Linked DNA regions of Oryctolagus cuniculus. The protein of the gene in region 1 binds, or shares a complex with, the protein of each later gene. Links are inferred from orthologs where the notes say so. Each region holds a gene or a part of one and is shown in the gene's direction. Other genes may lie near its edges. The genes, in order: MED26, MED25, MED19, MED24, CCNC, MED4 and MED7.

Region 1 (4,226 bases):
ATGCCGTCATGGTTTCCCTGTGTCTGGGCTGGGGGCCGGGGCGGGGTGGGGGCCCCGTGCTGTGCTGCAGCTTTGCAGGGCTGCACTGCGTGGTCCTCGCGTGCGTTCTCTCAAGGGGCAGCCCAGGGTGCCGTGGCGAGCCTCAGCAGTTGTGCCTGGTGTCTCCCGGAGGTTGGTCCCTGTTCCCGCTCGGTGCAACTCTTCCGCGGTAGAGCCGGCTCAGCGCTGTGTGCGGGTCCCCTCTCGCGGGCCCCAGGTCCTGTGCAATCTCCTGTAGCTGGCATTCTTATTAGCGGTTTCTGGGAGAGGGGGAGTTGCCGCCGGCCCAGTGTCCTCACAGAGGGCAGAGGTGAAGGCCTCGGTGTGGCTGCCTCGCTCGCTTGCTCGCGCTCCAGTTGTGTCCACGTCGGAAAGGAAGCAGCTTGCAGGTGACATTCTGAGACCTGCTCTGCCCCCAGAGGGCCGAGATCAGGATTCTGAGTCCAGGGGCTGTGTGAGCCAGTGGGCCTTGGGCCGGGAGGAGCTGTGCAGACGTGAAGTGGGCGGGAAGCGAGGAGGGTCGGGGCGGGCGGTGGCTGCGGAGCGCAGAGCCGCCGCCCTCTGCTGAGCGGAGCTCCCACCTGAGGCCTGCCGTAGCTCTCCTCCCAGGGCCACCGTGCGTTTGCACGCCTGGGAACCTCCACCGCTGCCGCAGCAGCTTCCCATTTCTGGGCGACTCGTGGGGAGCAGCCAGGCCTCCGCCCGCTGCCCGCACCCAGGCTGGTGCTTCTGTCCCCGACCAAGGTTCCAAGTGCGATTTTGTGCTCGGCCCGTTGCTGCCCGTGGCAGGAGCTCAGTGCACAGGGTCGTCACCCCAGGGACGCCGACAGGCCGCCCAGAGGGCTGATACTCCGGGGGCAGCAGGCCGGCCCGCCAGTGAGGAAGTGCTTTTGCAGGTGGTCACTTGGTGGCTGTGACTGGGATATCCCCCCCCCCCCCCCCAGCCGGGCTGTTCTTCCTCTGGGAAGCCGTAATGAGGGACTCTGCCCCTGTGGGTTTGAGGCTCCCGGGGCGGCGGGGGGGGGGGGGGGGGCTGTGGAGGAGGCGGGAGCGGGCAGCGCTGGGCTGTGTGGGGGCCGCAGGGGCCGCCCCTCCTTGCAGTGACTTGCAGCAGAGGGAGCTGCCTGGGGACTCGTGGGGTTTGTCAGAAGCAGGAAGACTTGGGCTGAAGAGCACGGCTGGACCAGAGCACACACGCGTGCACCAGCGGGGCCCGCTTCCTTCCCGTGTCCGCGCACACACGGCGCATGCCCAGCCCTGTGCAGGCGGCCTCCTGCCCAGCACCACGCAGGCTGTGCTTGGGCGTGGAATGGGAGCGACGGCTTGCTCCCTGATGAGCACTTCCAGAGCTTTGCGAGTAAGTGGTTTTGTAAATTCTGTCTAGACCAGTTCTGCCTTTAAAACTAATAATAAACCAGCAGCAGTGTCCACACTGTTAGATTCGGGGGAACCCGTTTGCGCAGGTGCTTTGGGGCCGCAGCCCCGGGAGGGGGGTACTGCCCACTGCCTGGGGCGTTGGAAGGGTGGCCAGACGGGGAGTCATCGGGCCAGCACGGCGCGGAGCAGGCTCCAGGGCTGTGGATGGGCCCTTGGCTCAGCGTTGAGTGTGGGCTGGAGACCCCGTGCGGCCTGGGGAGAGCACAGAAGCAGCACCAGGGCCATCTGGAGGTGGCCCTGTGGTTTCGAGGAACGTTCTGGAAACTGTGCATTTCCTGCTGGGGAGGGTCAGAGTCTGATGCCACTGTCCCTTCAGGCTGGCGGGCGGGGCCTGTGCAGCCTTCTAGCTGGGTGGTCTTTCTCCTTGGGCCATCTGTTTCTTTACCTGGAAATGGGGGCGTGGGGGTGAGCACTGAGAGATGTGGGCTCCTGTGCAGCCCGCCGGGCCGGGGCAGGCTCAGGGCTCAGGCCTGAGGGAGCGTGGCACACCGCCAGCTGCAGGCCGGAGAGGGCCCTCCCCGAGGTGGAGACGGGGCTGGGAGCGGAGGGACCTCTCCGACTGCACGGCCGCGTGTCTCAGTTCCTCGTTTCTGCTCAGGGCTGGAAATCCCCCGCGGGCAGCGTTGCTCGGGCGCTGCAGGCGCAGCCCCGCTTCCCCAGGTGCGGCTTTGCCGAGGCCGCCTGGGCTGCAGGTGCCCTCACAGCCCCGCGGCAGTGCGACTCGGACGGCGGTCTGGGCTCCTGGGGGCGTGAGGGTGGCCACAAGGCAGAGCGGCCACGGCCTGTGACCCAGCTGTGGACTCTGCACCATGTGCCTGGCTCCCGGCTGCTCCCGCACGGGTGCGGCGGTGTCCTCTCCACCTATGGAGACGGGCAAGGGCTTTTGCCCATGTCCTCACCCTCGTGTGACAGACCTGGAACACCCCTCCTGCCTGCTGGCTGGTCTCGGCTGCCCGTGCACCTGCCCTCTCTGTGGCCGTAGCCATCCTGGGCTCCCGCTAAGGGAGAAGCTTGAGTCAGGCCGCGGGCCGAGCGCTCAGCCCTGCCTTCTGGCTCAGGCACGCAGGCCGTTTCTGTGCTGGGACTGGCGGGCGGCAGACCCGCAGCCTGCGGGAGGCCCGGCGAGGAGCTCCGGGGGGCTCAGCAGATGGAGGGGCCGTGTCCTTTGGAGCAGAGGTTAGGCCAGCACGGCCCCCTCCCCGCACTGGTGGCAGATGGTGGAGCCACACGCCGCGGAGGGGCTGCCATCGGGTCTGTGCTCCCTCACCTGAGTGCCTGCCAGTCGTCTGGAGCCGAGACCTTCCGTCCGGTGTTAACAGATCAGGTGTGATTTGTCGTGTATATACATTTGTTATCTTCGGCAAATTTCAGACATCAAAGCAGAGAGGAGTCTGCTCCGCGTCCTGTTGGGTGGACAGCACGTGGAGCCAGTCCGCTCTGCTGCCGTCCCATCCCCGGGAGAGGGGCAGCGCTCCTGGGCCCCGGGCTCCCTGTGGGCGCTCCCCTGTGTGGGTCCGGCCCCGCTTCCTTCGCGTGTCGGCTGTGAGACGTGCTGGCCACACCTGTGCAGGAAGCCTCAGGTCTCCTGGGGCGTCCGCGCCTGCGCTTGGGTCTCGGTGGCGCGGGCACGGGAGAGCCTCGAGCGCCCGGCATGCATGCCGCACGTCCGGCTGGCCACCCTCACCTAGATAGCAGGTCACCTCTCCCTGCTAGTTCCGCCCGCCTTGACCCTCCAGCCCAAGACCAGGCGTCCCCACTCGTGTCTGTGAGACCCCAGAGACACGGGCTGGCCGGTGTGTCCTTTCCTGTCGGCCCCGAGTGCTCTCCAGGCCAGGATCCCGTGTGACAGTCCACAGCACCCCTGGGACTGCTGCCCGAGAGCCCTCGGGGTGGGCACCTCAGGGCCCCCTCCCACTCCAGGCCAACATGGTGGTGGTGGTGATCGGGACGGCCCCTTGGTGGAACTGGGCCGGCACCGGCTTCTCTGCTTCGAGGAAAGCAGTGATGTGCATCTGCTCGGGGAGCCCTGACAAACCTAAGAGGCCGCAGTCCCTGCCAACTCCTCCCTTCTCCGAAAGCCACTTGGCAGAGGGTGGGGAGGTGTTTGGCCTGGGAATGAATCCCCAGGAAGAAGCTGCGGGCCCCCAGCGCCCTGTGTGCCGTGGGCGGTGTCGGCAGAGCCGCCTTAGGCTGCCTCGGGGGCAGCGCCTGTGCTGGCATTCGGATCAGGCACATTTCTCCACGGCTCCGGGAGCGACCGAGACCTGGGGCGCGGCAGCAGCGAAGGCTGGTGGGAGACAGAGTGTGTGGGAGCCAGCCCGCGCCCCCCGTGTCTGTCCCCTCTCGGCCTTGCCCTGGTGGTCCGTCCTGGCCGCCAGAGCCCCTGTCAGCCACAGGCTCCCTTCACTGACGGTGGGAGGCCACTGGAGGGGTATGGTGTGGTAGGCGAGGCAGGTTTCCCGTGGCCAGCTCGCCTCTTGCTCCTCAGGGCCCCGCACGGCTGGGTGCTCGGTGTCCCCTGGGACAGAGTGGCCGTGTTGGGCTCTGCAGGGCTGTTGGATCAGGGACCTTCCATGTCCTGCCCGCCTTCGTGGGGGGCCGGCACTGCATTGCTGGGGGTGGGGGCCTGACTGCTCTGGAATGTTCCGCTGGTGTTCAGGGGCACGCACCCCTCTCTACCTGACCTGGCTTTGTAGGTGGAACCCCAGGAGCCTGGCCTCCTCCCCAGCGGGTAGAGAGATCTGCAGAGG
Region 2 (3,500 bases), on another chromosome or scaffold:
TTCATCTGCCTCTTCCTCCCCAAATGACCACAAGCCAGGCGGCAGGAGCTCCGTCCGGGTCTCCCACGTGGGTGCAGGGCCCAAGCACTCAGGTCGTCGCCTGCTGCTGCCCCAGGCGCGCCAGCAGGGAGCTGGATGGGCAGCGGAGCAGCCGGGCCCCGTATGCGATGCCGGTGTCGCAGGTGCCGGTGCCAGCTCCGTGGGGAAGCTGTGTCCTGTGACCGGCAGTGTTTGTTTCTGTTCCCCAGTAGAAGCGTTGCTCATCTCTGACAGAATGTTTGTTTTTCTCTCTGAGTTCTGTTTGTGTTCATTCAGAAGAAAGAGCAAGTTTTAGGATTTCAAAGTTTAGCCTTTCACTGTGGCCCTCGGACTTTTTTTTTTAATGGTTTTAGCATTTATTCAGTGAGAGAAGAAATACACAGGAGAGTGAGGGCTTTATAAGAGGGAGAGGGAGCTGAGGGGTTCACCAGGCTTTTCCAGGGAGTGGACGGAGGCTGGGAGAGCACTCGTGGGCCGCGGGTGAGCAGGTCTCGGGCCAGCGGGCTCTTTGTTCCAAACAAGGAGCGGTGTTGACCTCGGGCGTTTTGGCAGTTCACGGTGCCCTGGCAGCCGCCGTCTCGTCTCGTCTCGGTCCAGGTGACCGTGGACTGCCCCTTGGAGCATGTCCAGAGAGGCCAGTGATGGTGGACCAGGCCCAGGGGGTGCAGGTGCCCGGCGGGGGCTTGGGTCTGCTCCCGCCCTAATGGATGTGGCCATCCGTTTGTTGAAGACACGTTTTCCAAGGCCCCCAGGTGCACAGGCTGGTGGTGAGAGGGCTTGGACCCGCCCGTGTGTGGGCTCGTCCTGCAAGGTCCACACTGCCGGGATGGTGGGTTGACGGCGTTCTGCAAGAAGCGCCAGAGACCGGTTTTGGTGAACAAGTCTGCTTATTGACGATCAAGCATGAGATAGAAAAGGGCAGGCGGGGGGCGTGGCTAATTCAGGGCAACACCAGCGCTAGAGGGTAAGGCCGCCGTTGGCGCGCTCTGCTTCTCAACCAGCTTGAAGGTCCTGCAGCCTTCCTGATGGGCCTGGGCCGCGCCCGGGGGCTGTTTACCTGATGGGCAGTTCCGGGCTCTTCCGCAGGAGGCTGGGGTGGGGGAACGGGCCTGGGGCTGCTGCTGCCTGCCCGCAGTGAGGCTAACTTGCGTGGGCCAGGCACAGGGTCACCCACAGCCCTGCAGCAGGCCCTGCCCCCTCCCCACAGGAGCGGCCGAGTGCGAGCGTGCCTGTGCCTGTGCCTGGGTGTTTTCCCTGGGCCGCACCCGCGGAGTGCTGAGTGCCTGAGCAGACACAGATCGGCTGCAGGTTGGAAGGCCGCAAGTCTGGGTTCCAGGCGCCGGCCAGGCCTCTCTCTGGGGGCCAATGGGCGAGGCTTGGTTTCCTTTCCCGGCTTCTGGTCGTCCCAGATGCCCCTGGCTTGTGTCGCCCCCGTCATCACACAGCTCCCTCGGCTGGCGCCGTCTTCCCCTGTTACCGGAGAAATTGCAGGGTTCTTGTCTTCGCGCAAGAAAGAATTCAGGCGTGAGACAGAGAGCAGTGGGAGGTAAAATAGTAAAATAGCAAGGTTTATTAGGGAAGGGACATCCGTGAGGATGGATGGGCACCTCTCCAGACAGGACCTGGGAAAGAGTGCAGTCGCTCGGACTGGGGGGGGGGGGGGGGGGATGTTACATGGTTGAGTGGAGAGAGTACACCTGACCAGACCAGGCGGGCGGCTCAGCAGAGAGGCAGAGGGCTGAGCGCGCAGTCCGGTTGAGGCTGGGGGCGGGGGGGGGGGAGGGTTAAGGAGATGGGTCTCTGTCTTCACACATCTCCTCCTGAATCAAAGGATTTTATGGCTGTAAATATTAAGAAGCTCCTATCTGAGTTTTCCCCTGAAGGTATCAGACAGGAGGAAGCCCAGCTGGCGCCATCCTGGGTTCAGAGGAAGGGTGAGCAGGACCCCCTGGAGAATGGGGATCCGGAGCAGGGTGTTTGAGATGCAGGTACTGGGCTGCACCTGGGAGACTGTGGAGGATTTGTCAGGCGGAAGTCGGGGGGAATCTCCACCTGGCAGGTCATCAGGTAGAAGGGGGCAGGGCAGGATGTGAAGATGCGAATACCGGGCTGCCCCTGTAACACCATCAGGATGACTTTGAGATGCAGATGCATATGCTGAACGTAGAAGTTTTCTCGGGAGGCCTTTGGCACACACACGTAAGCTCATAACTGACTTCCTGCCTAACACCCCAGGGTCTGCCCTGCTGTCCCCTGGTGACCTGTTTAACTCGATCACCTGGGGAGAACGCGTGTTTCCAGGTGGGCGAGGGGCACCGTGGGTGATGCCCTGCCTGGGACGCAGCGTCCGCTGCCCAGCGCCCGGAGGCAGCAGGTGGAGCTCGGGTGCCTGGACCCCTGCCACCCACGTTTGCCCTGCGTGCAGCTCCCAGCTGCTGGCTCTGGCTTTGCCCAGCCCTGGCTGTTGCAGGCATTTGGGGAGGGGAGTGAACGCACGGTTAGGAGGAGTATCACCGCCTGTGTGTGTGTTGTGGGGGTGCTTTTCAAGTAAAATTTAAAAAAGTTTTTAAAGATCCCATTTACAGTCGGGTCACATTTTGAGGTACTAGGGGCAGGATCTCAGCTTGTTTTATTTGGGGAGAGGGAGACACTCAAACCCACCAGGTGCTGGGAGACAAAGGGGTCCCTCTACCTGCTGGGAAGGTGAGGTGAGCCCAGGGCTGGCTTTAAAGATGGACTAGATGGCCAGGGGTGTGGAGTGTGGACAGGGTCATCCCAGGATCAGGACAGCACAGGTGCCCCGTCCACGCCCTTGGCCTGGTGCTGTGCCCACTGCGGGGACAGTGCAGGGAACACAGGCCGGCGGGGGGGCGAGGGGCACGTTGGCTGACCCCTGACCTCCGGCAGGTTCATGGGCGGGGGCGGTGAGAGCTGCAGCCTCATCGCCGAAGGCCTCAGCACAGCCCTGCAGCTGTTCGACGACTTCAAGAAGATGCGGGAGCAGATGTGAGTGCCCCTCGCGCGGCCTGGGCCGGGCTCGTGCCAGCTGGCCCGGGACCACGTGGTCTGTGGTGGGGGCGTGGGGCAGGCAGCTGGGGTCGGGGTCTGCGGCCTCCTCAAGGCCCCGTGGTGGCTGCTCCATGCCTTTCTTGACCTGCAGCGGCCAGACGCACCGCGTGTGCCTGCTGATCTGCAACTCCCCCCCGTACCTGCTGCCCGCCGTGGAGAGCACCACGTACTCGGGCTGCACGACCGACAGCCTGGTGCAGAAGATTGGGGAGGTGAGGACCCAGAGTGCCCTGGGCAGCTCCCCGAGTCTGCCGTCCCTGCCTCGGCCAGTGAGAACTGTGGTTAAGGCCTGTCAGGTGTGGGCACCCGGGGCTGGCCCCGCGTCCCCCCTGCTCTGCTCTGCTCTGCCCTACATCAGGGCACCCACTTCCTGTCGTATCCCCCCCACAGCA
Region 3 (4,212 bases), on another chromosome or scaffold:
TTCGCACCAGTGTAGCTCTGGCCGCTGCGGCCAATTGGGGAGTGAACAGCAGATGAAAGACCTCCCTCTGTGTAATTCTGACTTTCAAATAAATGACTCTTAAAAAAAAAAAAAAAAAGGCAAAACAAAACAAAAAAAACCACAGATGCTGCTACCCAGGAGAGGGCTAAACTCTTTTTTTTTTTTTTTTTTTTAATAAGCGGTCTCAAAACTACTGAGGAAGCACCGCAGGCGGCCTGGCACGTATTTTATTTTATTTTTCTCCAATTCCTTTTCAGGTTTTATTCAATTTTGCATCCCACATCCGGGTGCAGCACAGTACTTAGCACACAGTGTGCTCAATGAAGAGATGGCTGACAGAACGAGCAAGTCCCAATGGCCGGAAAAGTCGCTGTAAAGGCCCAGGCACTCCAGTCGTGTGACCCCGGGCGCGTCGGCTGCCCACGCGCAGGCCGGTTTCTTCAAGCAGGAAACCGGACTACGACCACTACCCGCCTCGTCGCCCCCCGCCCCAGGCTCCTCGGGAGGCTTTGCACAATGAGCAGTACTGCAGAACGCCACACAGGTGCCGAGTTTGGGCACGGCTGTCTACTGGCAGGAACAGCGAGGCGTCAGGAAGCCCGGACTGGGGCTGTCGTGCAGGGGCTACCAGGCACCGCCTCCGTTTTCCCATCGTAAACACTTCGTTTAGATGCGATGACAGTCTGCGCCCTACACCCTTCAGCAGTCTGCAAGCCCGCTAGAGGCTGGGAACCTCAAGTGTCCTTAGGAAGGTGAAACTCGGGACTCCACATGCACCCGCAGGGGCAGGGACAGTCAAGGTCGCGGGGTTCTGAGCCCTAGAGCGCTCACCCAGTCAAAGTCACACGGGTTGCCGTCTTCGCGTTGGGTGGGGAGTCCATGGCAGAGCGGTGGCAATTTCCTCACGAGCAGGAAGGCAGCAGAGAGCAGGGCAGACAGAAGGTAGTAAGGCCTGGCCAGCCATCGTGAAAGTCGCGGCACCGAATACACCAGAGCAATCAAAGGCGCTAAGACCGCCATGTTTCCAGGTCCTGCGGCGCCCGCCGCTCACCGGCGTCCGTAAATCTGGGCCCGCCTCCCACCCCATTGAGCGTTCTATTGGCCCAACTACCAGAAGAACCGCCTCTAGACCCGGAAGTAGATTTCTCATTGGATGCCGCCGTAATTCCGAGTTGAAAAGTGGAGTTGACCGGTTTACTGGCCAATCTAGTTGTCGCTTTTTCTACCAAGGTCATTTTATTGGATATGTGTTTATGGCCCGCGGAAGTGACCCAGAAGAATTCAATCAGGTTAGATAGCACTTCCTGAACGTTTTCAGAAAGCGACGGAAGTTGTTGCCAGAAAAAGGTAGGTGGAGCCACAGATATCCAATGATAAGCTTTCTTTACAGGAAGAGGGCGGTACCCCGTGAAAGGATTGTCCAATGATAGTCATCAACGCCAGACACTGAGGCAGCGCCGGTGCGGAGGGGACGATGGAGAATTTCACGGCGCTGTTCGGGGCTCAAGCTGACCCACCACCTCCCCCAGCCGCACTAGGCTTCGGACCAGGAAAGCCTCCACCCCCGCCCCCGCCGCCGCCGGGCGGGGGACCCGGCACAGCGCCGCCTCCCACGGCGGCCACCGCTCCTCCCGGCACAGACAAGTCAGTGGCTGGTTGTGGCCCCTTCTATCTAATGCGGGAACTGCCTGGTGAGTACTAGGCCTGGCCGAAGCTAACCAGTCCAATGCTGAAGAGGTGAGGGCGTGGCTGTTGGCCGGCTGCTGGAGGTGCAGAGGCTGCACGGACCCGGGCCGTGGAGCTGGAACTTGCAAGAGCTGCGAAGATTCGCAGCCACAGGGATGATTGGGTTCGTGGGATGGATTGGGAGGAGGTGGGTGTGTGTCTCTGGGTCTGGGCTGTGCCCCTGACACTGGCTTCTCCAGGGTCATGGAGATCGGAACTCAAATGATATGCCTAGGGAACCGAGGTTTTTTAGTTTCAGTCCGCCTCAGGCTGGCTGTTGGTTTGGGGGTAAGTTTCTTCATCTATTCAAAGACGGGATTAGAAGGACACGAAATTATTTCATATCAAATTTATGTGGTTTGTTCTGCATGCTGGAGCTACAGCTGTGAACCAGACTGGCAAGATCTTTGTCCTTTTTGCCATTGGAGACAGCGTAAGCAAGATAGCATCAGATAGTGATTAATGCTGGATGAAAACGTGATCAAGAGTTGAGGTGGAGGCAGGCGTTGTGGTGCGGTAGGTTAAGCCACGGCTTGGAACGCCCGCATCCCATATTGGATTGAGTCCTAACCCTGTGTACACCCTGGATGGCAGCGGACGATGGCACGTCCCTGGATTCCTACCGCTGTCAGGGGAGACCTGTGTGGAGCTCCAGACTCAGTCGCGGCTGTTGCAGGCATCTGCGGAGTGGGCCAGCAGATGCAAGATTTCATCCTGTGCCTTTCAAATAAAATAATTTTTAAAATGTGGAAAAACTGAATTAAAAGATGTTCACTTTTAGAAAATGGACATAACTGTTGCTAGATGATCAGAGTTAACAGAGAGGAGAGGCAGAGAGAGAGAGAGAGGTCTTCCATCCTCTGGGTCACTCCCCAGATGGCCACAACAGCTGGGGCTGGGCTGATCCGAAGCCAGGAGCCAGGAGCTTCTTCCGGGTCTCCCACATGGGTACAAGAGCCCGAGGCCGTGGGCCATCTTCTGCTGCTTTCCCAGGCCACAGCAGAGAACTGGATCAGAAGAGGAGCAGCTGAGACTCAAACTGGTGCCCATTTGGGATGCCGGCACTGCCGGTTGCGGCTTTACCTGCTATGCCACAGTGCCGGACCCTAGTGCTTTTTCTTAAACTATAGTTTTCCTTTTATTTGAAATGCAGAGAGACAACCACCAGCAGTTTCTTTAAGCTTTTTTCACTTACTCTGATTGTGCTTGTTTCTGTCAGCCCGTTGGCAGATACTTGGTATCTGTTCTTGGTAAATGCTCTATGTGCAGGAACAATGATGTGTTGAAAGGGGGAAAGAGATGTCAGGTCTGGGCCTTACTTCCTAATTTTTACTTTATTTGAAAGCCAGGGAGAGACGCAGAGAGACATTCCATCTGCTGGTTCACTCCCCAAATGCCCCCAACAGCCAGGGCTGGGCCAGGCCAAAGCCAGGAGTTGGGAACTTGATCCAGGTCTCCTTTGTGGCTGGCAGGAATCGAGTCCTTGCCGTCATCTGCTGCCTGGCAGCCTGCATCCTAGCTGGAGGTTGGAGCAGAAGCAAAGGAGCCGGCACGGAACCCAGCCACTCTAGTATGGGATACGGGCATCCCAAGCAGTGTCGTGACGACTGCTGCAAATGCCCACCCTTGGTCCTTGGTTTATAAGAAGACTATTTTAGTTAGTTAGGGAAGCACAGTATGTGGTTTGTGGATAAACAAGTGACTGTTTCTCATCGATACCAGTCTCATTACTTTGCAGTCATGCCTTAAATACTGCACAGCTAACAGTATCTTAGTGAACAGCATTAACTCCTTGATGGTTTTCAAAATGTGGTGTATCCATGATGACAGCAAGAAATTAGATGTCACTTGAGCTGGACTGTGAAGAATTCACATTGGTTGGGGAAAAAAAAAAAAAAACAACAGATTTTTCCTAAAAGGAAACAATATAAGAGGGAATGCCTATTTTTTTTTCTCATAAGTGTGGAGACTCATTTGAATGGATCAGAAATTTTACCAAAAAGAAAGAAATTTTACCTTTGGGGAAGTAGTGGCTGATGAAGCCCAGAGCTAAGTTGGATGCAGTCAGATGTGAATAACCCTGGATGCCTGAGGAACGGGTGCTTTCTCCCGAGAGTAACAGGAAACCTGAAGGTTTTTGAACTCAGAAGTCCTGCTTTCTAAAACATCTCAAGAATGGCGGTGCCATGATTGAAATGAAGAAGCCATAAGTGACATGGGCAAGAATTTGAATTAAAAAAAATTGAATCTGCATGAAATTTACTGCAAAGAAGGTTCATTCAGGAGAGGAGTCAGAGCTGGGGAGAAAGATTTATAAATTAACTACAAAGCAATAGTCAAAAACAGGAAGTTAGAGTTTAGAAAAAGCACAGTACCTTCTCCCTGACCTTCAGCAAAACCACCTGGGAGGAAGATAACTGGCAGAGAGGAGGGAACATCAGAAAGCAGTAGCAAGCAGCAGTGCCA
Region 4 (3,500 bases), on another chromosome or scaffold:
ATAATCACTATGTAAAGCGGGGCTGTGCTTGACCACTTCTGGCCTGACGAGAATGGATGAGTGCCTGCTGGCCGCAGAGTGGATGAGTCCCTGATTCTGATGCGTCTCGGGTCTTGTCTTTTTCTTCCCCTCGTGCTACATGGTTAATGGGCTGGTTGCTGCTGTTATTCACCATTTGACCCTCTGGAGTTGTAACTAGGATAAGCGATTTATAATCAAGTGCTAAGTAGTGTGGTAGAGAGCATGAGTGCTGGCCTTTAGAGAGATTAGTGGGTTAGAGCAGTTGGGTAACTTGTTAAAGGAACTGAGGCTTGAGCAGGGACTTGAAGGATGGTGGGAGTTGTGTGTGAGGGGGCATCTTCCCAAAATGGGGAGCCGAGGGCAGGGCCCAGAGGAGAGGTGGCGGACAGGGATGGCAGTCTGGGAACCAGGCGACTTGAGTGGAGGGAGAGGGCCATGCCAGGCTGGCTGGCCTTTCAGCTGGGCTGTCTCGTGAGGTGATTTGTGGCTGGCCTCCCTGATCCAGCCAGGGACTCTACACGCTGCGTGCTGCCCTCTGCTACTGCCCATATGGTCTCTGCAGTCAGCTGGGGCGTCCCATGGGAGTCAGGCTTTTTGGCGTGGTTTCTAGGGCCTTCAGCCCTCAGTAGCTGTCCCCTTGCACACACAGTGCATGCTGCCCTTCAGCCCCTAGCCTCCATGTCATCCTCAGGGGAAGCCTCCCTGCGTGGTTTTGTGGGCCCAGGGTGCCAAAGACGTGGAACCAGGCCCTCTGTTGCCTATCAAGTTTGTGCATTTCCTGTTCCTCTTCAGCCTCCTGGACTGCCATTGAGCACTCTCTCTTGAAGCTTGGGGAGATCCTGGCCAATCTCAGCAACCCCCAGCTCCAGAGCCAGGCTGAACAGTGTGGCACACTCATTAGGAGGTAGCCGGCTCCCAGGATGATGGTGGGGAAGAGGGAGGATGTGTCCTGGGGCTTGGGTGAGGTTACAGTGCCCACTCCTATCCCCTTCGTTCTCACCTTTGTTCCCCAAACGCTGTCCCCTCAGCATCCCCACAATGCTGTCTGTGCATTCGGAGCAGCTGCACAAGACTGGCTTCCCCACAGTCCACGCGGTGGTCCTGCTCGAGGGCACCATGAACCTGACAGGCGAGACGCAGCCCCTGGTGGAGCAGCTCATGATGGTGAAACGCATGCAGGTGGGAGGGGCCGGGTGGCCGCCCTTACCCGAGGTGGGCGGGCAGGTCAGAGCAGGGGGAGGAGTCTCCTGTGTCTGGTGGAAAGGGGCTGCCAATCATGCATGGTTCTGTCTTCTGACCTCCCTGGTTCTCAGCACCAGAGCTGGGGAGCAGCCCTGCCCTGCAGTCTCTGACCTGGCCTAGCCCCTGGAGCCTGAGAAGGATGAAGGGGTGCGGGGCACCCTCTTAGGCCTCACTCTTGACTTTCCACAGCATATCCCCACCCCTCTTTTTGTGCTGGAGATCTGGAAAGCCTGCTTTGTGGGGCTCATCGAGTCCCCTGAGGGCACAGAGGAACTCAAGTGGACAGCTTTCACCTTCCTCAAGGTACCTGGAGCCTGGATGAGTCTCGGGGCAAGCAGACACCTGGGCCCTGGCCCTCTCGCCCGTGTTGGCTTCGTGCCGGCCTGCAGGGGCCCCAGCACCGGTTCCCACTGATGATCTCTGAAAGCCCCAGGGCTGTATTTAGTCCACTTGGCAGGACTCTGGCTTCTCAACAAGGGGTGTTGTTTAGCTTGATGCTCAGCCAGCCTGGTGCTGGGCAGTTCCCAGAGCCAGGGAGGTAGGCCCCGGTCGTCTGGAAGCTGGGCTCCCCCACTTCTGTGCATGGCATTTCCTTGTGGAGCTGGCAGAAGTGGGTGGTTCCTGTGTCCAGTGGGTTGAGGGGCATCAGGCCCTTGGGCGCCCCCCAGCTTTCTGACTGGCCTCGAAGGAAGTCTTCACTTCCAGTCAGGAGCACTCCTGTCCCGCTGCCCGGAGCAGGGGCCGGAGGGGGACGTTTCATAGTAGGTGAGACTGATCTTCCTGTTTCTCCCTTACCTTGTGCCCTAGATTCCGCAGGTGCTGGTGAAGCTGAAGAAATACTGTCATGGGGACAAGGTGAGTTGGAGAAATGGGGTGGGGTGTGGAGCAGGTGAGGGCATTCTACGCTGGAGAAACAAGGGCAGGGGAGGTCGTTCAGACCCTAGTCGGGCAGTCTGTGCTTGTGTTCAGAAGACAGCAAGTGTGTGAGAGCATTGGAGCCCTGTGTGTGTCCTGCCATATGTGGCCCGGCTCCCGGCAGCAGGCAGGCTGTCTCCTCCAGCAGGCAAGGTCGCCTGAGGGAAACACCGATGCCCCTTCCTTCTCCAATCCAGTCCTTGGAGTCGGTGGCAGGCAGGACCTACAGCAGGCCCCTGCATCCAACAGGATGGCCTTGCATGACTGCCTTGTGGGCTGTGGGAGGAGCAGGGGACCCAGAACCCCGGTGGAAGTTTCTGACCCTTTGTAGGACTTCACTGAGGATGTCCACTCTGCTTTTGAGTTCCTGCTGAAGCTCACCCCGCTGTTGGACAAAGCTGACCAGCGCTGCAAGTATGAGCGCCCTGCTCAAGCCCTGCGCTCCTGGAAGGTGTTCCGGGCTCTTAGCTTGCTGGCTATGCCAGATAAGCCTCTGGGGACACTGTCTCCTTGTTGGCTCCCCTTGGCAGGGGCAGGAGGCAGCAGCCCTGTAGTTGCTGCGAACCGAGATCTCTGTTCCCTTCCCTCCAAATTGTCCTCATCCTCAAAACCCTTCCCTGTAAACTCCCAGCTGTGCGCGCCGTTGTCTCATCATCATTTTCCCTCACAGCTGTGATTGTACAAACTTCCTGCTCACAGAATGTAGCAAGCAGGGGCTTCTGTCTGAAGCCAGTGTCAACAGCCTTACAGCTAAGCGGTAAGTGTGAGCTCATGTGGGCTACCCCAAGAGCCCCGGGCTTTTCTGTCTCCTGTTGACTGGGCTGCTGCTGCCTCTCCCACTCCTGTCTAAAGTTTGGGTTGCAAATGACTGGGACCATGCCACGAGGGGACAGGGGACAGGAAGGGACAGACCAAACTCAGTTCTTTAACATACAGTTTGGTTCTCTCAGTTGCTACTTTTTTTTTTTAACATTTATTTATTTATTTGAAAGGCAGAGTCACAGAGGCAGAGACAGAAAGAAGTCTTCCACCCGCTGGTTCATTCCCCAGATGGCTGCAATGGCTAGAGCTGGGCCGATTCAGAGCCAGGAGCCAGGAATTCCTTCTGGATTTCCCATGCGGGTACAGGGGCCCAAGGACTTGGGCCATCTTCTACTGCTTTCCCAGGCCATAGCAGAGAGCTGGATTGGAAGTGGAGCAGCTAGGACTCGAACCAGTGCTATATGGGATGCTGGCACTGCAGGTGGCAGCTTTACCCTCTACACCACAGCGCCAGCCAGCCCTAGTTGCTACTTTTTAACCCATACCTTCCAGTGTGATAG
Region 5 (4,195 bases), on another chromosome or scaffold:
ATTATTAGAAATTTTATAATAAATTCAAAGTTACCATGATAATAGAAATGGAAAATACAGAAGCATGATATTTCATCTTGTAAAGTGACATTTTTCAGTACATTTCTTTTTGGAACATATATGTGCATACATGTAAATATATATGTGCTTACATATTTTTAGATGTTTCCCAAACTGGTGATTCTTTGGAATTAAAACACTACTGCTGGCCGGCGCCGCGGCTCACTAGGCTAATCCTCTGCCTTGCAGCGCTGGCACACCGGGTTCTAGTCCCGGTCCGGGCAGCAGATTCTGTCCCTGTTGCCCCTCTTCCAGGCCAGCTCTCTGCTGTGGCCCGGGAGTGCAGTGGAGGATGGCCCAAGTGCTTGGGCCCTGCACCCCAAGGGAGATCAGGATAAGTACCTGGCTCCTGCCATCGGATCAGCGCGCCGGCTGCGGCGGCCATTGGAGGGTGAACCAAGGGCAAAGGAAGACCTTTCTCTCTCTCTCTCTCTCACTGTCCACTCTGCCTGTCCAAAAAAAAAAAAAAAAAAAAAAAAGAATGCATTGTGGGTGCTGGCGCCGGCGGCTCACTTGGCTAATCCTCCGCCTGCAGCGCTGGCACCCTGGGTTCTAGTCCAGGTCGGGGGGCTGGATTCTGTCCTGGTTGCTTCTCTTCCTGTCCAGCTCTCTGCTGTGGCCCCGGAGTGCAGTGGAGGATGGCCCAGGTCCTTGGGCCCTGCACCTGCATGGGAGACCAGGAGGAAGCACACCTGGTTCCTGGCTTCGGATTGGTGCAGTGCGCCGGCTGTAGTGGCCATTTGGGAGGTGAACCAACGGAAAAGGAAGATCTTTCTCTCTGTCTCTCTCACTAACTCTGCCTGTAAACAAAACAAAACAAATAACACATTGTGGGGTAGGGCACACCAGTTTGCGTCCCAGCTACTCCACCTCCAATACTGTGCCTGGGAAAGCAGCAGGTGGCCCAGGTCCCTGGGCCCCTGCATCCACGTGGGAGAACTGAAAGAAGATTCTGGCACCTGCCTAGACATGGTGCAAGCCGCGGCCCTTGCAGCCACTTGAGTGAAGCAGGGTGGCAAGGCATCTCTTTGTCTCTGGAACTGCATTTTACATAAATAAACCGTTTGTCTGCTAGAAACTAAGAACGCTTGATAGATGGAGTCAAAATCATGATTCACTTCTCTTTCCAAGCGCAGGAAAAAGGGAAGTCAACAAATCGTGTACTTTGTTATAAAGTCATTATGTCTTTTTGGATACCTGAAAGATGGACCACAAAATTATAAACTGGGCGCTTGCTCCAAGATCTCTCCATTCAGCAAATCCAGCGAGAACAGAACACAAAGGTTGCGCGGGTTCCGAGCCGGAACCGGCACGAAACTCTCGCGAGAGCTTTCCGACCGACGCAAGCCCTCCCGAGGACTTGTTCCCGTCTGACGCCTCGCTTCCTCAACTACTGCAGGACGGGCCGGAACTTTTGTCTGTAGGAACGGGTTTACTGGTTGAGTGTTGCCAGCCGGCGTCAAAAAGAATAGGGATCCATCCTCTTCCTCTCGCCGTAGCCGCCGCTGAGCCAAGCTGAGCTGATCCGATCTAGGAGCGCGGTTACCGGACGGGCTGGGTCTATGGTCGCTCCGCGGGCCGCTCCGCCGGCTGGTGCTTTTTTATCAGGGCAAGCTGTGTTCCATGGCAGGGAACTTTTGGCAGAGCTCCCACTAGTAAGTGATCTTCCGCGTTCTCGGCCGGTGCTGGTTCTTAGGGGTTGGTGAGAACGGGGCCTGCAACTCCCCTCCGTGTGGATCCCGGCGCCGGTCCGCGGCGCCGGTGAGGTCCCAGTGGGAGGCGGCAGCAGCGGGAGTGAAGTGCGCTTGTCTGAGGCGACTCTCCTCCCAGGCTGCCGGCCGGGATTTGCGGGAGAAGGATCTGTGAGCGGGAAAGCTGGGGGAAGGAGGTTGAGTGGGAGAAGGAAGGTTCAGGACTTTGATTTGGATCTGGGATTAGCTAGTCGGGTAGCACGAGGTGTGCACAGGTAGGGGAAGTGTGAGGTCGGGACCGTGAGGCAGCCTGTTCGCAGAGTCGTGGCTTCCTTTTCTCCGGGGTTTCTTCAGGATATCGGCCTCGTGGTACTTTGCCATTTACCTTCTGTGTCGAGTGGGTTTGATATTAATCAGAGGATAGGCGGGAAGCAGGCTTATTTCTAGCTCGTGATCGGTTCCAGTAACTATGCCTAGGTGGAGTTTCATGTTCTAAAAATTTATCCATTTCCTTATCTGTGTCTTACATTTTATCTTAAAACTGCATTTCTCATTGATTGTAATGAGTAAATTTGTGTTCTGTCAGCGACCACGAGCGTGTTAGAGTGATACAAAAACTTTGTCCCTAAATACGTTTGTTTAAGCAGACGGGAAGGTGCGTGTTAGACCTACTTGAACATTGACTAGGCTTTCCTTTGTAGTGCAAAAATGAACTGAGCTTGATAAAGGTATCTTAGTGTAAATTTTTCATTCTAAGAGCATTAGTAAATGTATCTTACGTTTTGTTTCTGTGAATAGAATCGGTTTTTATTCATTTTTTAACCATTTGCATAAGAAAAACAATGGGCTTGTTAACTTTCAGAAAAGCCTTTTCTTGTTGTACAGTCGATCTATGAAGTGCTGTAGAGGCTTTCCTCCCTTTCATATTTTTGTTTTACATTGTTGTCACTGAAATATTTTCTTGGGCAAAGTTAAAGTTTACAAACGGTAAATAGTGGAGAAGAGATTCTGTTTGAAAGAAGCTGAGAGAATTTACAGGTAGCTAGCTGTTGATTGTCACTTCTTCAACTTAAAAAGATAGTGCTCCCCTTCCTCTTTTTTAAGGTGAAAAATCCTTTTTTAAAAAGTGCTTTTATTTACTGTTGGCATTATAAAAAAGTTATCCTTTCACTTTTTTTTTATTAAAGGTTTATTTATTTATTTGAAAGAGTCACACAGAGAGAGAAGGAGAGGCAGAGACAGAGATAAGTCTTCCATCTGGTTCACTCCCCAGTTGGCTGCAACAGCCGGAGCTGTGCCAATCCGAAGCCAGAAGCCAGGAGCTTCTTCTGGGTCTCCCACATGGGTGCCAGGGGCTCAAGAACTTGGGCCATCCTCCACTGCTTTCCCAGGCCATAGTAGAGAGCTGGATCGGAAGGGGAGCAGCCAGGACTTGAACTTGTGCCCCTATGGGATGCTGGCACTGCAGGCGGCAGCTTTACCCACTATGCCACAGTGCCAGCCTCAATCTTTCACTTTTTTTTTTTTTTTTTGCCAGGCAGAGTTAGACAGTGAGAGAGAGACAGAGAGAGAGTTATAGACAGTTCCTTCCTTTGGTTCACTCCCCTAATGGCTGCTACGGCCAGTGCTGCACCGATCCGAAGCCAGGAGCCGGGTACTTCCTCCTGGTCTCCCATGCGGGTGCAGGAACCCAAGGACTTGGGCCATCCTCCACTGCACTTGCGGGCCACAGCAGAGAGCTGGACTGGAAGAGAAGCCACCAGGACTGGTACCCAGCGCCCCAACCGGAATTAGAACCCGGGGTGCCGGCACCGCAGGCAGAGATTAGCCAAGTGAGCCATGGCGCCGGCCAATCTTTCACTTTCTGAATACAAAATTAAACATGCTTTTTAAAAATTGTCTTTGCCTCCCATTTAAAAGAGTCTTGGTTGTCTTATTCTTATACCTTGAGAATCATGGAATGTCAGATTTTTGAAGGGTAATGAGCAAGAAAAACAAGATAATTCCAGATAAACAAGATTATAAAAGGCCGTCGTTTTAGGTGAATTTAATGAACAAGGGGGCAGAAGTTCTGTTTCAAGCCTCTTAAGATGAACTTTTTCGGCCGACGCCACAGCTCACTTGGCGAATCCTCCGCTTGGGGTGCCGGATTCTGTGCCGGATGCTCCTTTTGGAGTCCAGCTCTCTGCTGTGGCCCGGGAAGGCAGTGGAGGATGGCCCAAGTCCTTGGGCCCTGCACCCACATGGGAGACCAGGAGGAAGCACCTGGCTCCTGGCTTTGAATTGGCGCAGCGCGCCGGCGGCCATTTGTGGGGTGAACCAATGGAAAAGGAAGACTTTTCTCTCTCTCTCACTGTCTAACTCTGCCTATCAAAAAAAAAAAAAAAAAAAAGATGAACTTTCTCACATCATTTCTGAACTCAGCATGCCATTTTTTTTCTACT
Region 6 (4,246 bases), on another chromosome or scaffold:
ATCCACGCTGCCTGTCAAAAAAATAAATAAATAAAAATAAAGAGTTAAAAAAAAACACCATGGAAGCAACCCAAACTTCCATTATTGGATGAACAGATAAGCAGAAGGTGGTATAGACAAGTAATGGAATATCAAGCAACTTCAAAAAGGGAACTCTGACACTTGCTACAGCATGGATGAAATTTGAGGACATTTTGCTAAGTGAAATAAGCCAGTGACAAAACAGACAAATAATGTATGATTCCACTCACACAAAGAAGCCGAACTCACAGAAACCAGAAGGATGCTGCTTTCTAGGGACTCCCTGGGGCGTGGGGAGGAATGAAGCTAGATTTGTTTTATGAGGTGTGAATGTTGCAGGCATGCCAATCTCAACTTTTATTCCAAGTTTTTGTCCCTGCAGAGGTAAGAATTCAAAACAGAGCAATACATACAGAGCACGAGGGAGAAGACGATTTATTGAAAGAGTGAATATACATTCTCGTGTGAGTGTGGGCATCCCTGCATGGAGAGATGCTTGTCATGAGTGGGCCAGAGTTGCCTAGGAGGAGAGAGAGGGCAAGGAGACCAGAGAAGGACCGTAAGTATGCTCCTGAAGCCAAAAAAGCAAAAAAGGAGTGTTTCCACATTTATCAGTCCCTTTTGTGAGGTACTGGGTGGTGCTCTGATAAGTATGCAAACAGCATGGAGTTCAGTGTGAGGCAGTTTCATGGTGCCTTGGCTAGCAACTTACCTTCCACGTGGTCATTATGGTTCCCTTCCTTCCTGATCCCTGATGAGGCAGGTGCATCATGGGAAAGGGGGCACACTGGGTTGACAGGTAAGGGGGAGGAGTTGCCATGCAGGGTTATGCAGAAATTCTGAGAAACTATTCCAGCTCAACTCTTTCTACCTAATCTTCATGCCTAGTTCCCCCATCATTAAAAAGAGTTTTCTAGATGCACAATAGTGTGAACATATTTAACGTCACTGAACTACACACTGAAATAGCTAAAACCGTGACTTTTACGTTTTGTGTATTTTGCTACAATGAAAAAAAATAGGATCACAAATGGTTTTGGTTCCTGTGCTGAAAAGCTTACTGCAGCTTCCAAGAGCCATGCAACAGGAAGGTTAGAACAGCATCATGGGAATGCAGACTGCAGAGACAATCCTGGGGAGACACCAGTCGAGTTTATGAAGAAACGGACATAACAGGTAGGCAAGTAGGTAACTCCCTGAAATGCTCAAAAACCGTTTGGGAGAAGCCTTCCATTGCTGCTTGAAAAACCAGAAGGCCCAGAAGAATCGGACTGAATCGCCCCCTCCAGTCTCACTCCTTGGGCGCTCCCTGGGTATGTAATGGAGAAGCCCGGCTGGTCCAGCAGATGGCGCTAACGCCCATAGTGCGCCTCCAGTCGCCTAGGCGGCGCTCTGGCGGTACCGCTCTTCCCTACGTCTCGGTGACCCTTCCTTCCGCTTCCCGAGCCCGCCTCTTCTCCCACTAGCGCGGAGGTGCGCCTGCGCTGGTTCCTGGCCCTGGGGAGCATGGCGGCGTCTTCGAGTGGTGAGAAGGAGAAGGAACGGCTGGGAGGCAGCTCTGGAGCGGCAGGCGGTAACAGCACGAGAGAGCGGTTGTTATCTGCGCTTGAAGATCTGGAGGTCTTGTCGAGGTAATGGCGCCGGCCTGAGAGCCTGGCTGGGGCTGGGCTGGGGGACTGGCCCCGGAGCCCGCCGCCGCCGGCCCTCTGCGCTCATTCCTGGGTCTCGGCGGGGAGGCCTGAGCTTGGGAGTCCCCGGTGCTTGAGTGTTAAGGATATGGGGTCTGCAGATCTCTGGGACTCTGGGCAACACTTTTTTCTTTGCCGTCAGAGAGAATTTTAGTCATGACAGCCACCCTGGAAGTCCAAGACGGCAAGAGCCAGAGCGAACCTTAAGAGGTCTCGCGTTGGGAGACTGGCACTAATGGGCTGCCCCTTGGGCGCCAAGCACTAGGAGACTGTCGTGAAGGGGAGGCTGGGTGCCGACGCGGAGGAGCCCGGGGTCAGGGAGAGACAGGTGGGTAAACAGTGCTGGTGCGGGGCTCGTTCTTGTCCGAGCAGTGCGTTGCGGGCCCGGGAGTGTAGTCAGGGCAGGCTTTGGTTGGAAAGAATGAATTCATCGGACTCAGCAGGTGGCAGGGAGGTGACATAGTGTGTGCAAACCTTGGAAGTCGGAGGCCCCAGGCCCTGGCGGAGTTGTAAGGTGCTGGGGATGGCCGCAGAGCAGCATGGGAGACGGGATGGGATCTTGTTCTGCAGGCTCTCAGTTTTCACGGTCGTCTTTCAAGTCGGGGCCTTCCTGTCTTCTGTGGTTAACCTGGATCTAAGTTGTGTTGTTTTTGCAGCCTGCCAAAAGTTTCTACTTTCTTTTGTACTTGATATACTTTGTCATTTTATACTGCTGAGCACCATCGTTATTTTAAAAAGCATCTCGCATCATTCTTCTTAAAAAATACTCGATAGCCCGTATAAGCAGAGTCAGGCCCAGTGTCGGGTTTCTGTCAAGGAAAGACCAGATATATGATTATGCTGTGGTGGTCCCTTAGGATTATAATGGAGCTGAAAAATGCCTGCAGCCTCGTGGCCTTGTTGCCCTCTGTGCTCGTGTTTGTGGTGACGCTGGTGTGAATGGGCCCACCTGCTGCCGGGGGCGTGAAAGTGTAGCACATACAGTTACACACAGCCCCTCATTCCTTTTCTTTAAGGTTACTTATTTGAAAGGCAGAGTTACAGAGAGAGGGAGAGAACGGGAGCGAGCTTTTCCATCCACTGGTTCACTCCCCAGATGGCTGCAAAGACCAGGGCTAGGCCAGGCCAAAGCATGGAGCCTGGAACTCTGCCGGGGTCTCCTGCCTGGGTGGCAGGAACACAGTACTTGGGCTGTCTTTCGCTGCTCTCTCGGCACATTAGCAGGAAACTAGATAGGAGGGGTATCTGGGACTTGAACCCGGAGCTCATATGGGATGCCAGTGGTGGCTTCACTGGCTATGCCATGATGCCAGCCCCCGTCCATAATTCTTGATAATAAATGACTGTTACTGATTTATGTATTTACTGTGCAATACTTTTCATTGTTATTTAGAGTTTATTCCTCCTATTACTTAAAATTTAACTGTTAAGCAAAGTGCCACATTCTGCTGGGAGCAGCCTCCTATACCTTGTTTTTGCTGGGAACTGTTGATTGCGTCAGGCCACAGCAGGTGGCCGCTCCTGTCTGGGTTTGTGTAAGTACAGTCACCTCACCGTGCATTTGAGGGATGCCTGACTACTTCCCATGTCACCGCCAGCTGTACTTCGTCAGTGCCATTCCTACTCTATCTCTAGCTGGCTGAATGATTGAGTTGTCTTTCAGCATCTGTCTCAAATGTCACCATTTCCGTAGCCAGCATTCTGTGACAGCAAATGCCGATCTGCTTACACTCAAGATCAGTACTTTGTCTTTGCTGTGAATTTAGCCCTTGCTGTACCATTACTTACCAATGTTAAGTACAACATTTAGTGATGTAATGAAAACCTAAAAACACGCAGACAACAGAAGGTAAATGGCTTATAAGCTTCATCCACTGTTTACATTGTAGTAGGATCACAAACAGGGCACCTGGAATTTTCGGTCAGCCATTGCTCAGTACAGGAAACAAACTCACAGGCACCAGGCAGCTGTCCAGGCTTTGCCTCCAAGTGTTTACAGACGGAGCATGTCCATCTTCGCTGGTTTAGTAGTTTATGGTGGAAAACTTGTCAGTTCCCTCATTAGCCAATCCTCTTAACATCAACATCCACATTATTTCTTAGTTAACAAAAAAAACACACTAGCAAGGTATTTAGTATGATGTTTCAGTTAAATTATTCACGTGTCTGTTCTGTGTGACATCATCTGTGAGACAGCTAACTGAATGCTCATTTAGTTCCTGTTGAGTTCTCACTGTTTGTAGTTGCTCAGCTCCAAGTTACCAACATAAAAGCTGCCTAGCCACTGCTGTTTTTTTTTTATTTTTTTTTTTTTATTTTTTTTTTTATTTTTTTTTTGACAGGCAGAGTGGACAGTGAGAGAGAGACAGAGAGAGAAAGGTCTTCCTTTGCCGTTGGTTCACCCTCCAATGGCCGCCGCTGCAGCCGGCGCACCGCGCTGATCCTGGCAGGAGCCAGGAGCCAGGTGCTTTTCCTGGTCTCCCATGGGGTGCAGGGCCCAAGCACCTGGGCCATCCTCCACTGCACTCCCTGGCCAT
Region 7 (4,010 bases), on another chromosome or scaffold:
GAGCTGAAAGGACGTGGGGTAGGAATTGCTGTTGTGCCGTTAGTAGTTATGCGATCTGCAGACACGTGCCCTTAAGACTTGGGATCCTCATCCGAAGAATAGAATTGATCGTGTACTTAGGTCATAGCTTTGGCAGGAAGATGATGTGGAGAGGATGTGAGACAGTGATGCCTCTTAGGGAGTTGACCCTGGAAAGATGCCAGCTGAAGTCGAGGGGTGCGCATCCGCAGAGGCACACGGGTACTTGCCGCCTCCTGACGTCGGAGGGGTGTGTCTTAAAACTGTTCAGATCGGTTTAAAAGAGCACTTGAGAATCTTCAGATTGGATGATAATACCTATGTTTAAAAAGGAGTAAGTAGAAGTGATTGTGGCCATAGAAGCTGTGGGTTTGAATTTGGGTTTCAAGTTTCTATAGTAGATACAGAAAGGTTAGTAAATTGTAGCATAAAATGTAGAAAAAAGATACAGACTTGGATAATCATTTCATCTAGGAGCCTTGGATGATACTGGGTATCTAGATTTTAGTAATGTTAATTTTGTCAAAATGTTTGAGTTATAAGTATTTACTTTGGGAAATCACTTCGTAATAGTAAAAGTGATTGTAGGGGCTGGCATTGTGGCGCAGCAGGTTAAATGGCTCCCTGCAACACCAGTATCCCATATGGGCACTGGTTTAAGTCCTGGTTGTTCCAATTTTATCTGGCTTCCTCTCATATGCCTGAGAAGGCAGTGGAAGATGGCCCAAGTGCCTGGACCCATATCACTCACAAAGGAGATCCGGATGAAGTTCCTGGATTCTACATGGCCCCGGCCCAGCCCCAGTCCTTAGCAGCTATTTGGGGAATGAAAAGGCAGATGGAAGATATCTCTGTTTCTCCTTCTCTCTCTGTAACTCTGCCTTTCAAATCAATAAAGTAAATCTTAAAATCATCTACCTTCTAAAAAAAAAAGTGATTGTGATATGTGTTTGGGCGACAGCATGTGTAGTTTTGCTATAAAGAGATGTGGAGAAATGGGACATAAAAGGTAAGTGGTGTAGAATCCAGAAGACTTTTCTTTATAAATGAAAAGGTACTCCAAGATATTGGGAGAGAAGTATTAACAGGGAAGGAAAAATAATGTGGGTTGTTGAGAATATAGTGCTTAATTAGAAAAGGGTGGCATCCATTCTGAGTTGTAAGTGTTAGCTTTGAAACTACCGGAAGAAAAGGGGAGTGCTCTGTCTGTAAACACTAAATGTGACAGGTTTGTTTTGTAGTTCTTCTGTGAATCTTTGGTTTGTTTTTGTAGGTGCTTGATCTTCCACAATGGGTGAGCCACAGCAAGTGAGTGCACTTCCTCCACCTCCTATGCAGTACATCAAGGAATACACTGATGAAAATATTCAGGAAGGTCTAGCTCCCAAGCCACCCCCTCCAATCAAAGACAGTTATATGATGTTTGGCAACCAGTTCCAATGTGATGATCTTATTATCCGCCCTTTGGAAAGTCAGGGCATCGAAAGGCTTCATCCTATGCAATTTGATCACAAGAAAGAACTGAGGAAACTCAATATGTCTATCCTTATTAATTTCTTGGACCTTTTAGATATCTTGATAAGGAGCCCTGGGAGTATAAAACGAGAAGAGAAGCTGGAAGATCTTAAGCTGCTTTTTGTCCATGTGCATCATCTCATAAATGAATACAGACCCCACCAAGCAAGAGAGACCTTGAGAGTTATGATGGAAGTCCAGAAACGACAGAGGCTTGAAACAGCCGAGAGGTTTCAGAAGCATCTGGAGCGAGTGATTGAGATGATTCAGAATTGCTTGGCCTCTTTGCCTGATGATTTACCCCACTCAGAAGCAGGAATAAAAGTAAAAACTGAACCAATGGATGCTGATGATAGCAACAATTGTACTGGACAGAGTGAGCAGCAAAGAGAAAATTCAGGTCATCGAAGGGACCAGATTATAGAAAAAGATGCTGCCTTGTGTGTCCTAATTGATGAAATGAATGAAAGACCGTGACTCATGTTAGTTTTCTTTTTTCCCTTTTGGTAAATAGTATAATATTACTGGTTTATTTTCTTTTGGGCAGTCTTAAAATGAATAACTAAAAGTTTAAATGGCCTTTTTCTTGACTCTCCAGCTTTTTCACTTACGTAATGCCATAGGCAGCAATTTCAGTATATAACAAGTGTAGGCAAACAGGGACCCGTAAATTAAGAATAGTGACCTGAAAAAGAAAATGTTTGCTGCAGATGTGTGGGGCATTCTTTTTTTTGGAGTTGGAGTAAAAGTTTGACAGTGTCCTTGGTAATAGCAAACTTTCATCCTTAAAAAGTAAATTTGTCATTTGCTTTAAGAATGAGGGATAGATACTCTAAAATGTGAAATTATGTAATATTTAAAAATTTACCTAATCTGCATAAGGTAGTATAGCATTTTAAAAGAGACCCATTTGTTATGAAACAAAAACTTTATTTTTCCTTGTGATTCTTGTAACTCTACTACCTCAGTAGACTCTTTTTCCTTATCTTGAACCTTGGTAGGTCCCATAAATTGGTTTTTCTCAGTCACTTGGGTAGAAAGTCTTTGGTCAGCTTAGTTAGAAATTTTAGATTACAGATTTTAGTAATTAAGAGGATTGAAATTACAGATTTTTAAAAATATTTGTAATTCTTTGAAATTACACATTTTTAAAGCTAAGCTCAGACATGATCAAGGCTGGTAGACTGCAGTGGGAGAAGGGTTTGGTGGGAGCAACTGCTCGATGTCCACCAGTGATTCGCGCTTCTTCTTGCTGAGATATCACTGTTCAGCCAGTGACCACATTTCCCTACTGCCCTATATCTGTGTGAGGCCATGTGACTAAGTTCTGGGAAATGGAGTCTGTGCCCTAAGATTTCTTGCACGATCTTCCATTCTGTTCCCCAGTCGGCTAGGTGTGTGCCCACACCCATGCAAGCCTGGTGACAACAGTTTATAGTAATTTGGTTCTAGAATGTGAAGATTAGGTCCTCTTTTAACTCCATTCTTCCTTCTACAGCTAACTTAATGTGAACAAGAAATAAACTGTCTTGGGTACTGAGATTTTATTTCTGTACTTTCTTTTCTCCTCCCTCCTTCCCCCTCCCGCCCATTGGCCTCATATCAGGATCTTTGCCTGCTACTCTCTGACAGAAGCCAGTGGTTCTCCATTGTCCTTTTGGACCAGCAGCATTAGCATCACTTGGGGATTTGTTAGAAATCAAGCTCCTCTGGCTCCACCCTGGACCTTCTGAACCAGAAACTTGCTGGTGCACAGGGCGTGGCAAGCTTGGTGTTAAGCCTTCCTCCAATTCTGATGCATGCTCAAGATTACCATCTGTAGAGATGGGCCTTTTCCTGGGTGATGTGCTTTTGATTTCTCCCTCATTTCCTGTTTACTAGCATAGGGATTTGCTGCATTAAGGTCTCACCAACTCACTGTAAAATGGTTACAGGCCAATTTCCCTGTGTGAAATATGCATTCTTTGCATTCAGACAGAGGCTGTTTCCAATTAACACTTCTAGCAGACAAGAACTAATTAACAAGTCTCAAATTTAAGGTTTTTTTTTTTTTTTTTTTTTTTTTACCAACTGGAATATGCTTGGTGTAGACCTTGGGACCAGAGACCCCCAAAGGACATTCTGGTTTCCCTTAATTAAATTAAATTTGTTCCACACCTCCTCCCTCATACCTTGGTCAGTGAGCAAGATGGAAATGGCTCTTGAACAACTCAACAACCGTTTCTCTTTTGACTTTTTAAAAAATACATTGCTGTGAGAGGAGTGTTGGGCTGAGGTACAAAACCAATTTGGGACCACTTTGAAAATCCTTGCATGTAAGAAATGAAATCATTTAACATTGTTAAGAGTCACAACAGTTACTTGTAAATTTGTGTGTGTGTGTGTGTGTGTGTGTGCGCATTGAGGGGAGAGGTATTGATGGATTGCAATGCCATAGGTTAGCTTCACTTTAGCCCAGAGCTAATCAAGGAGTTCTG

What was found.
Region 2: MED26 (region 1) and MED25 share a complex: the UniProt entries of both Homo sapiens proteins name them as parts of the mediator complex. The link is inferred for Oryctolagus cuniculus from reciprocal best matches to the Homo sapiens genes MED26 and MED25.
Region 3: MED26 (region 1) and MED19 share a complex: the UniProt entries of both Homo sapiens proteins name them as parts of the mediator complex. The link is inferred for Oryctolagus cuniculus from reciprocal best matches to the Homo sapiens genes MED26 and MED19.
Region 4: MED26 (region 1) and MED24 share a complex: the UniProt entries of both Homo sapiens proteins name them as parts of the mediator complex. The link is inferred for Oryctolagus cuniculus from reciprocal best matches to the Homo sapiens genes MED26 and MED24.
Region 5: MED26 (region 1) and CCNC share a complex: the UniProt entries of both Homo sapiens proteins name them as parts of the mediator complex. The link is inferred for Oryctolagus cuniculus from reciprocal best matches to the Homo sapiens genes MED26 and CCNC.
Region 6: MED26 (region 1) and MED4 share a complex: the UniProt entries of both Homo sapiens proteins name them as parts of the mediator complex. The link is inferred for Oryctolagus cuniculus from reciprocal best matches to the Homo sapiens genes MED26 and MED4.
Region 7: MED26 (region 1) and MED7 share a complex: the UniProt entries of both Homo sapiens proteins name them as parts of the mediator complex. The link is inferred for Oryctolagus cuniculus from reciprocal best matches to the Homo sapiens genes MED26 and MED7.

Annotation. Positions count from the first base shown.
Region 1 is NC_091447.1:64,938,934-64,943,159, reverse strand, and holds the start of MED26 (mediator of RNA polymerase II transcription subunit 26), read left to right. Parts: upstream 1-1,426; 5' UTR 1,427-4,116; coding exon 4,117-4,226. UniProt on the Homo sapiens protein: Component of the Mediator complex, a coactivator involved in the regulated transcription of nearly all RNA polymerase II-dependent genes.
Region 2 is NC_091449.1:7,732,035-7,735,534, reverse strand, and holds part of MED25 (mediator of RNA polymerase II transcription subunit 25), read left to right. Parts: intron 1-2,946; coding exon 2,947-3,045; intron 3,046-3,199; coding exon 3,200-3,320; intron 3,321-3,500. UniProt on the Homo sapiens protein: Component of the Mediator complex, a coactivator involved in the regulated transcription of nearly all RNA polymerase II-dependent genes.
Region 3 is NC_091432.1:14,441,134-14,445,345, forward strand, and holds the start of MED19 (mediator of RNA polymerase II transcription subunit 19), read left to right. Parts: upstream 1-1,412; 5' UTR 1,413-1,495; coding exon 1,496-1,712; intron 1,713-4,212. Other genes in the region: TMX2 (thioredoxin-related transmembrane protein 2), read right to left, coding at 853-1,041. UniProt on the Homo sapiens protein: Component of the Mediator complex, a coactivator involved in the regulated transcription of nearly all RNA polymerase II-dependent genes.
Region 4 is NC_091448.1:22,391,791-22,395,290, forward strand, and holds part of MED24 (mediator of RNA polymerase II transcription subunit 24), read left to right. Parts: intron 1-813; coding exon 814-925; intron 926-1,049; coding exon 1,050-1,200; intron 1,201-1,452; coding exon 1,453-1,566; intron 1,567-2,070; coding exon 2,071-2,118; intron 2,119-2,509; coding exon 2,510-2,592; intron 2,593-2,848; coding exon 2,849-2,935; intron 2,936-3,500. UniProt on the Homo sapiens protein: Component of the Mediator complex, a coactivator involved in the regulated transcription of nearly all RNA polymerase II-dependent genes.
Region 5 is NC_091436.1:72,156,668-72,160,862, forward strand, and holds the start of CCNC (cyclin-C), read left to right. Parts: upstream 1-1,395; 5' UTR 1,396-1,683; coding exon 1,684-1,715; intron 1,716-4,195. UniProt on the Homo sapiens protein: Component of the Mediator complex, a coactivator involved in regulated gene transcription of nearly all RNA polymerase II-dependent genes.
Region 6 is NC_091440.1:67,125,663-67,129,908, reverse strand, and holds the start of MED4 (mediator of RNA polymerase II transcription subunit 4), read left to right. Parts: upstream 1-1,446; 5' UTR 1,447-1,527; coding exon 1,528-1,652; intron 1,653-4,246. UniProt on the Homo sapiens protein: Component of the Mediator complex, a coactivator involved in the regulated transcription of nearly all RNA polymerase II-dependent genes.
Region 7 is NC_091437.1:44,110,628-44,114,637, reverse strand, and holds the start of MED7 (mediator of RNA polymerase II transcription subunit 7), read left to right. Parts: upstream 1-1,308; coding exon 1,309-2,010; 3' UTR 2,011-2,015; intron 2,016-4,010. UniProt on the Homo sapiens protein: Component of the Mediator complex, a coactivator involved in the regulated transcription of nearly all RNA polymerase II-dependent genes.